Linked DNA regions of Callithrix jacchus. The protein of the gene in region 1 purifies or fractionates together with the protein of each later gene. This does not show direct contact. Links are inferred from orthologs where the notes say so. Each region holds a gene or a part of one and is shown on either strand. Other genes may lie near its edges.

Region 1 (3,644 bases):
AAAATATGGTCATTAAAGATATAATTAAGATGAAGTCACCCTGGAGTAGAGTGAGTGTCCAAGAGGGGGATACAAACAGAACAGGGGAACACTCCGGGCGACGCAGCAGAGACTGGACCGAGCCATCCACAAGCCCCGGAGCTCCTGCAGCCCCCAGAGAGCTGGTAGAGGCAAGGAAGCAGCCTTCCCCTAGGGCCTCCAGAGGGCCCTGCTCACCCTGACCTCTATAAGATGATACATTTCTGGTCTTTTAAGCCCCTTGGTTTGTGGCACTTTGTTCTGGTGGCACCAGGGCACTGACACGCCTGCTCTGTGGGCCACAGGCTCCTAAGCCCTTCCAGGATCTGGCAACTCTTTTTTTTTTTTTGAGACGGAGTTTCGCTCTTGTTACCCAGGCTGGAGTGCAATGGTGCGATCTTGGCTCACTGCAACCTCCGCCTCCTGGGTTCAGGCAATTCTCCTGCCTCAGCCTCTCAAGTAGCTGGGATTACAGGCACGCGCCACCATGCCCAGCTAATTTTTTGTATTTTTAGTAGAGACGGGGTTTCACCATGTTGACCAGGATTGTCTCGATCTCTTGACCTCGTGATCCACCCGCCTTGGCCTCCCAAAGTGCTGGGATTACAGGCGTGAGCCACCCCGCCAGGCCAATCTGGCAGCTCTTAAAGGAAACGAACCCCACTTTACGGACAGAAGATAGAGGTGGAGTCAGTGGTTGGCCTTGGTCCTGGCTCTGGCTCCAGGGCCGTGACCTCCACGAACACCACTCATCAGCCTGCACCAGAATGGAAGAAGGGCTCAGGAGCAACAAGCTCAGGTGCAGATGCTGAGGGCTGCATGCCAGCCATGTGCCCAGTGAGCTCAGGTGCAGATGCTGAGGGCTACATGCCAGCACATGCCCAGCAAAGTGCCTAAGGTACAGATGCAAAGGGCTGCATGCCAGCCATGTGCCCAGCGAGGCCCCTAGGCCAGGAGCTCTGCTAGTGGGACCTCTCAGCACAGCCCGGCACCTTCCTGAGCCATCCTGTATCCCGTGAAGTGAAGACAAAGGGCACTGGAGTATGGCTGCCCCAGGACGTCAGGCCCGAGGAATGGGAAGTGGCTGAGCCACACTTGGGATCCCAGGGGGACCCTGGAGGGAGGCCAGGGGAGCCTCGCCCAGAAACAGCACTGGAGAGCCTGAGGCAGCCAGAGGGTCAGTGGGAGAGGGACTGTGCATGGAGCCCGGCCACACCAATGACTTGTACCAGAACATGGCAGGGCGGGGGGCAGGGGGCGGGGGAGGCTCGGTGCCCGCAGACTCTGGAGACACAGGCTGGAGCTGGAGGTGGGGGGATGGCCAGGGCCCTCCTTTCCACCGGGGCAGGCAAGCTGCGGGGGATACCTGGACTCTTCCAGAGCCAAGCTGAGGCCTGGAGGGAGGCAGCAGGCACTCGCCACCAAGATCAGCAGCCTGGCCCAACCTCCGCCTCCTGCCCCGGGTGCCTCTACCTGGCCCTCCCCTTGTCTGTCTCTGCAACTTCCCCCTTAGTTTCTAAAGTGGACTCATCACCTTGCCCTCCCCTAGGAATAAGCTTCCTTAGTCTGTCAACACAGCAAGGCCCTCTCACTTGGCAGATAAAAAAAGGAAACACATCTAGACCCAGCGTCTGTCACAGCAGGCCTGGAGAAGCTGGGGACCCTCCTTTGAACTCAGCCCCACCTGCCGGCCTTGGCCCAGGCTGCGGCTGGCCCATCTCCCTCCTGGGGTTGGGGTCTGCAGCCTGGAAACCAGCTTTGCCCCAGGACCCTCTCCTCACGTGTCCCCTGCTGGGGTGCTCAGCTCCCCCCAGGCCTGAGCATTCGCTGGGCACACCGGAGGCCTCACGGGCCCCACACACCAGACTGAAAGCCCTGGGACCTGGCTGCACAGGGGTCCTAACCTCTTCCCTCGACCCAAAACATCTCACCTGAACATGAGCTCAGGGAAAAAACCTCCAAGCGTGGTCCCATACCCAGGGCCCTGGATACCTGTTCTGGGACTGCTGGGATTGGTGGTGCTGCCAGGAGACGTGAGCCAAATACGGCCGATACCACCACTCTGGGCACGCTGGCCCCACTTGCCAGCACCTCCAGGCCAGGGCTCGCTCCTCCAGTCCCCACGTCTGCTTCCCCCCGACTCCCACCACAGTCCCACAGCCCTGGTCCTCAAGCACCATGGGAACCTGCAAATGCAGTTCTCCGGGAAATATCTAGAAACAGGGGCAGGGCTGGGGCCCCAGGGTCAGGTGCGCTTGGGAGCGCTGCCCTGGGCAGAGGGTGGCCCTGGCTCCCTGGCCCTCACCTGCAGTGACACAAGGCACCCCAAGTCCTGGTTCTGAGAGGCAGAGGGCAGATGGCAGAAGAGGAGGAAATGCTCAGTGGGTGCGGCCTGCTGGAGCCACGGGAGTCCCCGTGAAGCAGCACAGGAGATGTGGGCCTAGCACAGCCCACCCGAGCACCTGTGGGGCCGAGGGACGCTGGCTCACAGGGGGCACAGGCTCACTGTGAGGAAGGCAGAGGGAGTGTGGACTGGGCCCACTCCATCTCCTGCAGGGATGGCTGTGAGACATAACCAACCCTAGACACTCGGGAGACAATGGGGTGGCCATAGGCACCAGGCTGCTGAGCCCGCAGCACAGGGTGAGGTGCAGAGAGCCCTGTGGGGTGGCTGGCTTGGAGGTACCTTGAGCTGCTCGTACTTCTTGCAGTAAGCCTCCAGGGCTGCCCTGATGTCCTCAGGGACCTCCAGCTTCTCATCCTTGAAGGGCGGCCAGAACTCACTGGACAGGATGACAGCATAGACCCCGAATGGCGGCTGCTCCTCCACCGGCCGCTTCTCGTCCTCCTCCCGGATGTTGGCATTGATGCGGCGGGAGTCCGCCATATCCTGAGGGAGGAGCTGGTGTCACGGGGGCCTGGGGGTGGCGGGCGGTGGGCGAGGCGGGACCCACCTTCAGCATGACCTCGCAGAAGTGCATCGGGGCCTCGCCAAAGCGCAGCTTCAGCAGTTCTACGTTGCGGATCTCCCTGGAGAGACGAACCAGTGTCTGGGCGGGGGTCGCAGGGGCTGCAGTCCCAAGCAGCACCTGTAGCAGTCATGGGTGCACCTCCCGGGCAGAGCAGGGGGCCTGCGTGGCACCCCGGCGGCCAGCTCAGCCCCAGCCAGGAGTGGGGGTGGCACACAGTCCAACCAGGCCCAGGCCCTGTCCTGACAGGCTCAGCAAGGGCCCCAGCACCCCTGGAGACGGCTGGCGCCTCCCTGGCCTCACCGCTCCGGGCTGAAGCTGAGCTGGTGCAGTAGGCGGTCGGCCAGCAGCGAGCGGTACTCATTGATGAACAGGTCCTTGCTGCCGTAGATGCTGACCAGCAGGCTGATAATGTCTGAGGAGCGCCGCTTGGAGCTGGACTTCCCTGGCACAGCGGGGGCAGGGGTGTCACCTGATAGGCACCTTGGCAAGGATAGGGCACCCCCCTCCCATCCCACCATGCCCGAGGCATAGCCCAGCATGGCTTTTCCTGAAGGCCCTCGAGGCTGGGAGCAGCCCGGCACCTCCCAGGAGACCAGGAGTCGCATCCTAGGGCAGCAGCTTCGATCCCCAGCCCCTCCCGTCTCACAGGGACCT
Region 2 (3,741 bases), on another chromosome or scaffold:
GAGGCTGACGCAGGCATATTGTGAGGTCAGGAGTTCGAGACTAACCTGACCAACATAGTGAAACCCCATCTCTACTAAAAACACAAAAATTAGCCAGGTATGGTTAGCACATGCCTGTAATTCCAGCTACTCAGAAGGCTGAGGAAGGAGAATTGCTTGAACCCAGGAGGCAGAGGTTGCAGTGAACCAAGATCACCCCACTGTACTCCAGCTGGGCGACAGAGCGAGACGTTGTCTCAAAAAAAAATAAAATAAAAGCCGAGTCCTGGCTCAAACCACTCAACCATAAAAAAGACATTTGGGGACAGCTGGTGAAACAAGAAGCAGGAATGACTGTGAAACTGCCAGATGTACAACAGTGGTGGGTAAAAAGACACATGGCTGAAGTGTGTGGGAAGATGCATCAGATATAAAATTTTAAATCATTAGTCATGGCCGGGCGCAGTGGCTCACACCTGTAATCCCAGCACTTTGGGTGGCCGAGGTGGGTAGAACACGAGGTCAAGAGGTCGAGACCATCCTGGTCAACATGGTAAAACCCCATCTCTACTAAAAATACAAAAAATTAGCTGGGCACGGTGGTGCGTGCCTGTAAATTCCAGCTACTCAGGAGGCTGAGGTAGGAGAATTGCCTGAACCCAGGAGGCGGAGGTTGCGGTGAGCCGAGATCGTGCCATTGCACTGCAGCCTGGGTAACAAGAGCAAAACTCCATCTCAAAAAAAAAAAAAAAAAAATCACTAGGCACAAAAAATAAAGCTAATATGGAAACATGATTTGCCGTTTTTCAATGTGCTGGAAAGGGAATGCCCTTATTCCATTCAACTTTTTTTTTTTTGAGATTGAGTCTTGCTCTGTTGCCCAGGCTGGAGTGCAGTGGTGCAATCTTGGCACACAGCAACCTCCGCCTCCCAGGTTCAAGTGATTCTTCTGCCTCAGCCTGGAGTAGCTTGGATTACAGGCCACCCACCAACATGCCCGGCTAATATTTATGTATTTTCAATAGAGACAAGTTTTTGCTATGGTGACCAGGCTGGTATCAAACTCCTGGCCTGAAGCAATCCACCCACTGGCCTCCTAAAGCACTGGGATTACAGGTGTGAGCCATAAGGCCCAGCCTATGCCATTCAATTTTGAGACCTTTCAAGTAAAAAGTTTAATCTCTTTTTAATGCCATGTATTTCACAGCTGAGTTTCATCTTATCAAATGCAGTGAAAGGATCTTTATACTGACCTGGGTTCCAACCACCTGGCTTTTTTTCTATCAACTTTTCTTCAAGAAATGAAAATGAAAATGTGGGGCCGGGCGCATTGGCTCACGCCTGTAATCCCAGCACTTTGGCAGGCCAAAGCGGGCAGATCACCTGAAGCTGGAAGTTTGAGACCAGCCTGACCAACATGGAGAAACACCATCTCTACTAAAAATACAAAATTAGAAGGGTTTGGTGGTGCATGCTGGTAATCCCAGCTACTTGGGAGGCTGAGGCAGGAGAATCCCTTGAACCTGGGCGGTAGAGGCTACAGCAAGCCAAGATTGCACCATTGTACTTCAGCCTGGGAAACAAGAGCAAAACTCCATCTCAAAAAAAAAAAAGGAAAATGTGGGGATTTCCTGCAAGTATATTTAACAGGAGCCACTGAGGCTAGTCCAGCAGGCAGACAGCGGAAGGGACACTCACAGTCGGGGCAGCAGCCATTAAACGCCATCCTGCAGATGCCACAGTTCTCATCGTTGGCCACCCAGAGCCAAGTGGCCACGCCATTCCAGCACTTAATCTTCACCTTCATGGCAGCAGAGCCTGTACCCGAAGGGAAGAGGATGACAGGCTTAATTTAGTCTGCAGAACTAGAAGATTTAGGCACCAAAATAGGAATAAGCCTGGCACAGTGTAGTCTCAGCTACTCAAGGGGCCAAGGCAGGAGATCACTCCAGCCCAGGAATTCGAACCCAGCCTAGGAACATCGTAAGCCGTTTCTATTTTACTTTTCTTTTGTTTTTGAGACGGAGTCTTGCTCTGTCGTGTAGGCTAGAGTACAAGGGCGCACTCTTGGCTCACTGCAATCTCCGCCTCCCGGGTTCAAGCCGGCCTCCCAAAGTGCTGGGATTACAGACATGAGTCATCGCGCCCGGCCCGACTAATTTTTTTTTTTTAAGAGACAGTGTCTCACTATGTTGCCCGGCTGGCCTCACTGAGCTCAAGCAATCCTTCCACCTCGGCCTCCCAAGCAGCTGGGATTACAAGTGTGCAATGGCACACCCGACTTTCGACTTTTTTTTTTTAGATATGGGGGTCTCACTACGTTGCCCCAGCTGGTCTCAAACTCCTAGGGTGAAGCGATCCTCTTGCCTCGGCCTCCCAAAAAGTTTGGAGCACAGGCGTGAGCCCCGCGCCGGGCCCGTACCAAAACTTGTAAAGGATATGACTAGCAAATGTGAGATTGGAGACTTCGAGGTTGCAGGTGGAGACCAAAAACCCCGGCTCAAAAACCAAAAAGCAACCCGCAGCAGGTCTGCACCGGCTGCAGCCCGCTGAGGCCACTCCCGCAGGATCCCGCCCCGAGCCAAGCGCACAGCCCTCGGGCGGGCGCAGAAACAAGGACCCCCGCAGGTTCCCGGACACCCGCCGCGCCCGCAGCGCCCCCAGCCCTAGCAGAAGGGCGGGGCAGGCGGGGAGGGAGGGGAGCGCATGCCCCACTCCCAACGACCGCCGCCCAACCCCCTGCGGCCTCGCACCTTCGCCAACCTAATCACGCACGGCTCTGCCCGCCCTTCCGTTGGCAGCGCTGACGTCCGCGCGGGAAGGTATAAAAACGACCACAGTCACGGCCCGGCTCCCTCAGCAGCGCCCGCCGAGTCCCGCGCGGCAGTGCGCACGCGCTTCCCCGTCTCTCCCCGTCCCGCGCGCGCTGCGGTCCGCAGGCGGCCAATCACTAGCCGCTCCGAGGCCGTAGCACCGGAAGGCCTCACGCGGCGCCGGAGGTGACGTGCTGGCGTGCTGACGCGCGGGCTCGAGCCGATGCCCGATTCCGCGCCCGCCATGGCCGACAAAATGGACATGTCTCTGGACGACATCATTAAACTGAACCGGAGCCAGCGAGGAGGCCGCGGCGGGGGCCGGGGCCGCGGCCGGGTCGGCTCCCAAGGCGGCCGCGGCGGCGGGGCGCAGGCCGCCGCGCGAGTGAATCGAGGCGGCGGGCCTATCCGGACCCGGCCGGCCATCGCCCGCGGCGCGGCCGGCGGAGGCGGGAGGAACCGACCGGCGCCCTACAGCAGGGTGAGTGTGGAGGCCGGCCGCACCGGAGAGGGCAAGCCGGGGAGGCTGGCGGCGAAGGCCGAGCCCGGCTGGCTGATAGGGCTGGTGGAGCGGCCGCCCGGAGGTCCGGAGGGTGCGTGTGGGAGGGCGCATAGGGGGTGGTGGGCGGGGGCGAGGTCGTTCATTCCGGGCCCGGCCCGGAGGCTGAGACCCTTTTCAACCCTTTGTTCCGGCCGCCGGGACCTCGTGGCGGCGTGAGCGGAGGGGTAGCTGAGCGCGGCAACAGCGGCGGGAAGTTAGTGGAAGGGAACTGAAGTTGTGCTGCCGCGGTGGGACCGTGCGGCCTCGTACCTGGGGCTGCTTTAGCGGCCGGAGGGAGCGCTGGCGGCCTCATCTCCGCCGGATCCTCTCAGGCCGGGAAGAGGAAGGGTCCGGGGTCGCCGCGAGGACTGGGAAAGCCCTGGACTGAGACTCACAGGTCTGCTGTTG

Evidence for each region. Proteins that work in one complex are often made in the same cells at the same time.
Region 2: the proteins of ANAPC2 (region 1) and anaphase-promoting complex subunit 11 purify together in Homo sapiens (affinity purification with western blotting; 7 studies listed by BioGRID and IntAct, with this or other methods). This does not show direct contact. The link is inferred for Callithrix jacchus from reciprocal best matches to the Homo sapiens genes ANAPC2 and ANAPC11.

Annotation. Positions count from the first base shown.
Region 1 is NC_133502.1:185,590,095-185,593,738, forward strand, and holds part of ANAPC2 (anaphase-promoting complex subunit 2), read right to left. Parts: intron 3,433-3,644; coding exon 3,291-3,432; intron 3,049-3,290; coding exon 2,973-3,048; intron 2,909-2,972; coding exon 2,705-2,908; intron 35-2,704; exon of another isoform or gene 1-34. UniProt on the Homo sapiens protein: Together with the RING-H2 protein ANAPC11, constitutes the catalytic component of the anaphase promoting complex/cyclosome (APC/C), a cell cycle-regulated E3 ubiquitin ligase that controls progression through mitosis and the G1 phase of the cell cycle.
Region 2 is NC_133506.1:137,490,253-137,493,993, reverse strand, and holds the start of anaphase-promoting complex subunit 11, read right to left. Parts: upstream 2,874-3,741; 5' UTR 2,743-2,873; exon of another isoform or gene 2,733-2,742; intron 1,798-2,732; 5' UTR 1,787-1,797; coding exon 1,678-1,786; intron 1-1,677. Other genes in the region: ALYREF (THO complex subunit 4), read left to right, coding at 3,016-3,273. UniProt on the Homo sapiens protein: Together with the cullin protein ANAPC2, constitutes the catalytic component of the anaphase promoting complex/cyclosome (APC/C), a cell cycle-regulated E3 ubiquitin ligase that controls progression through mitosis and the G1 phase of the cell cycle.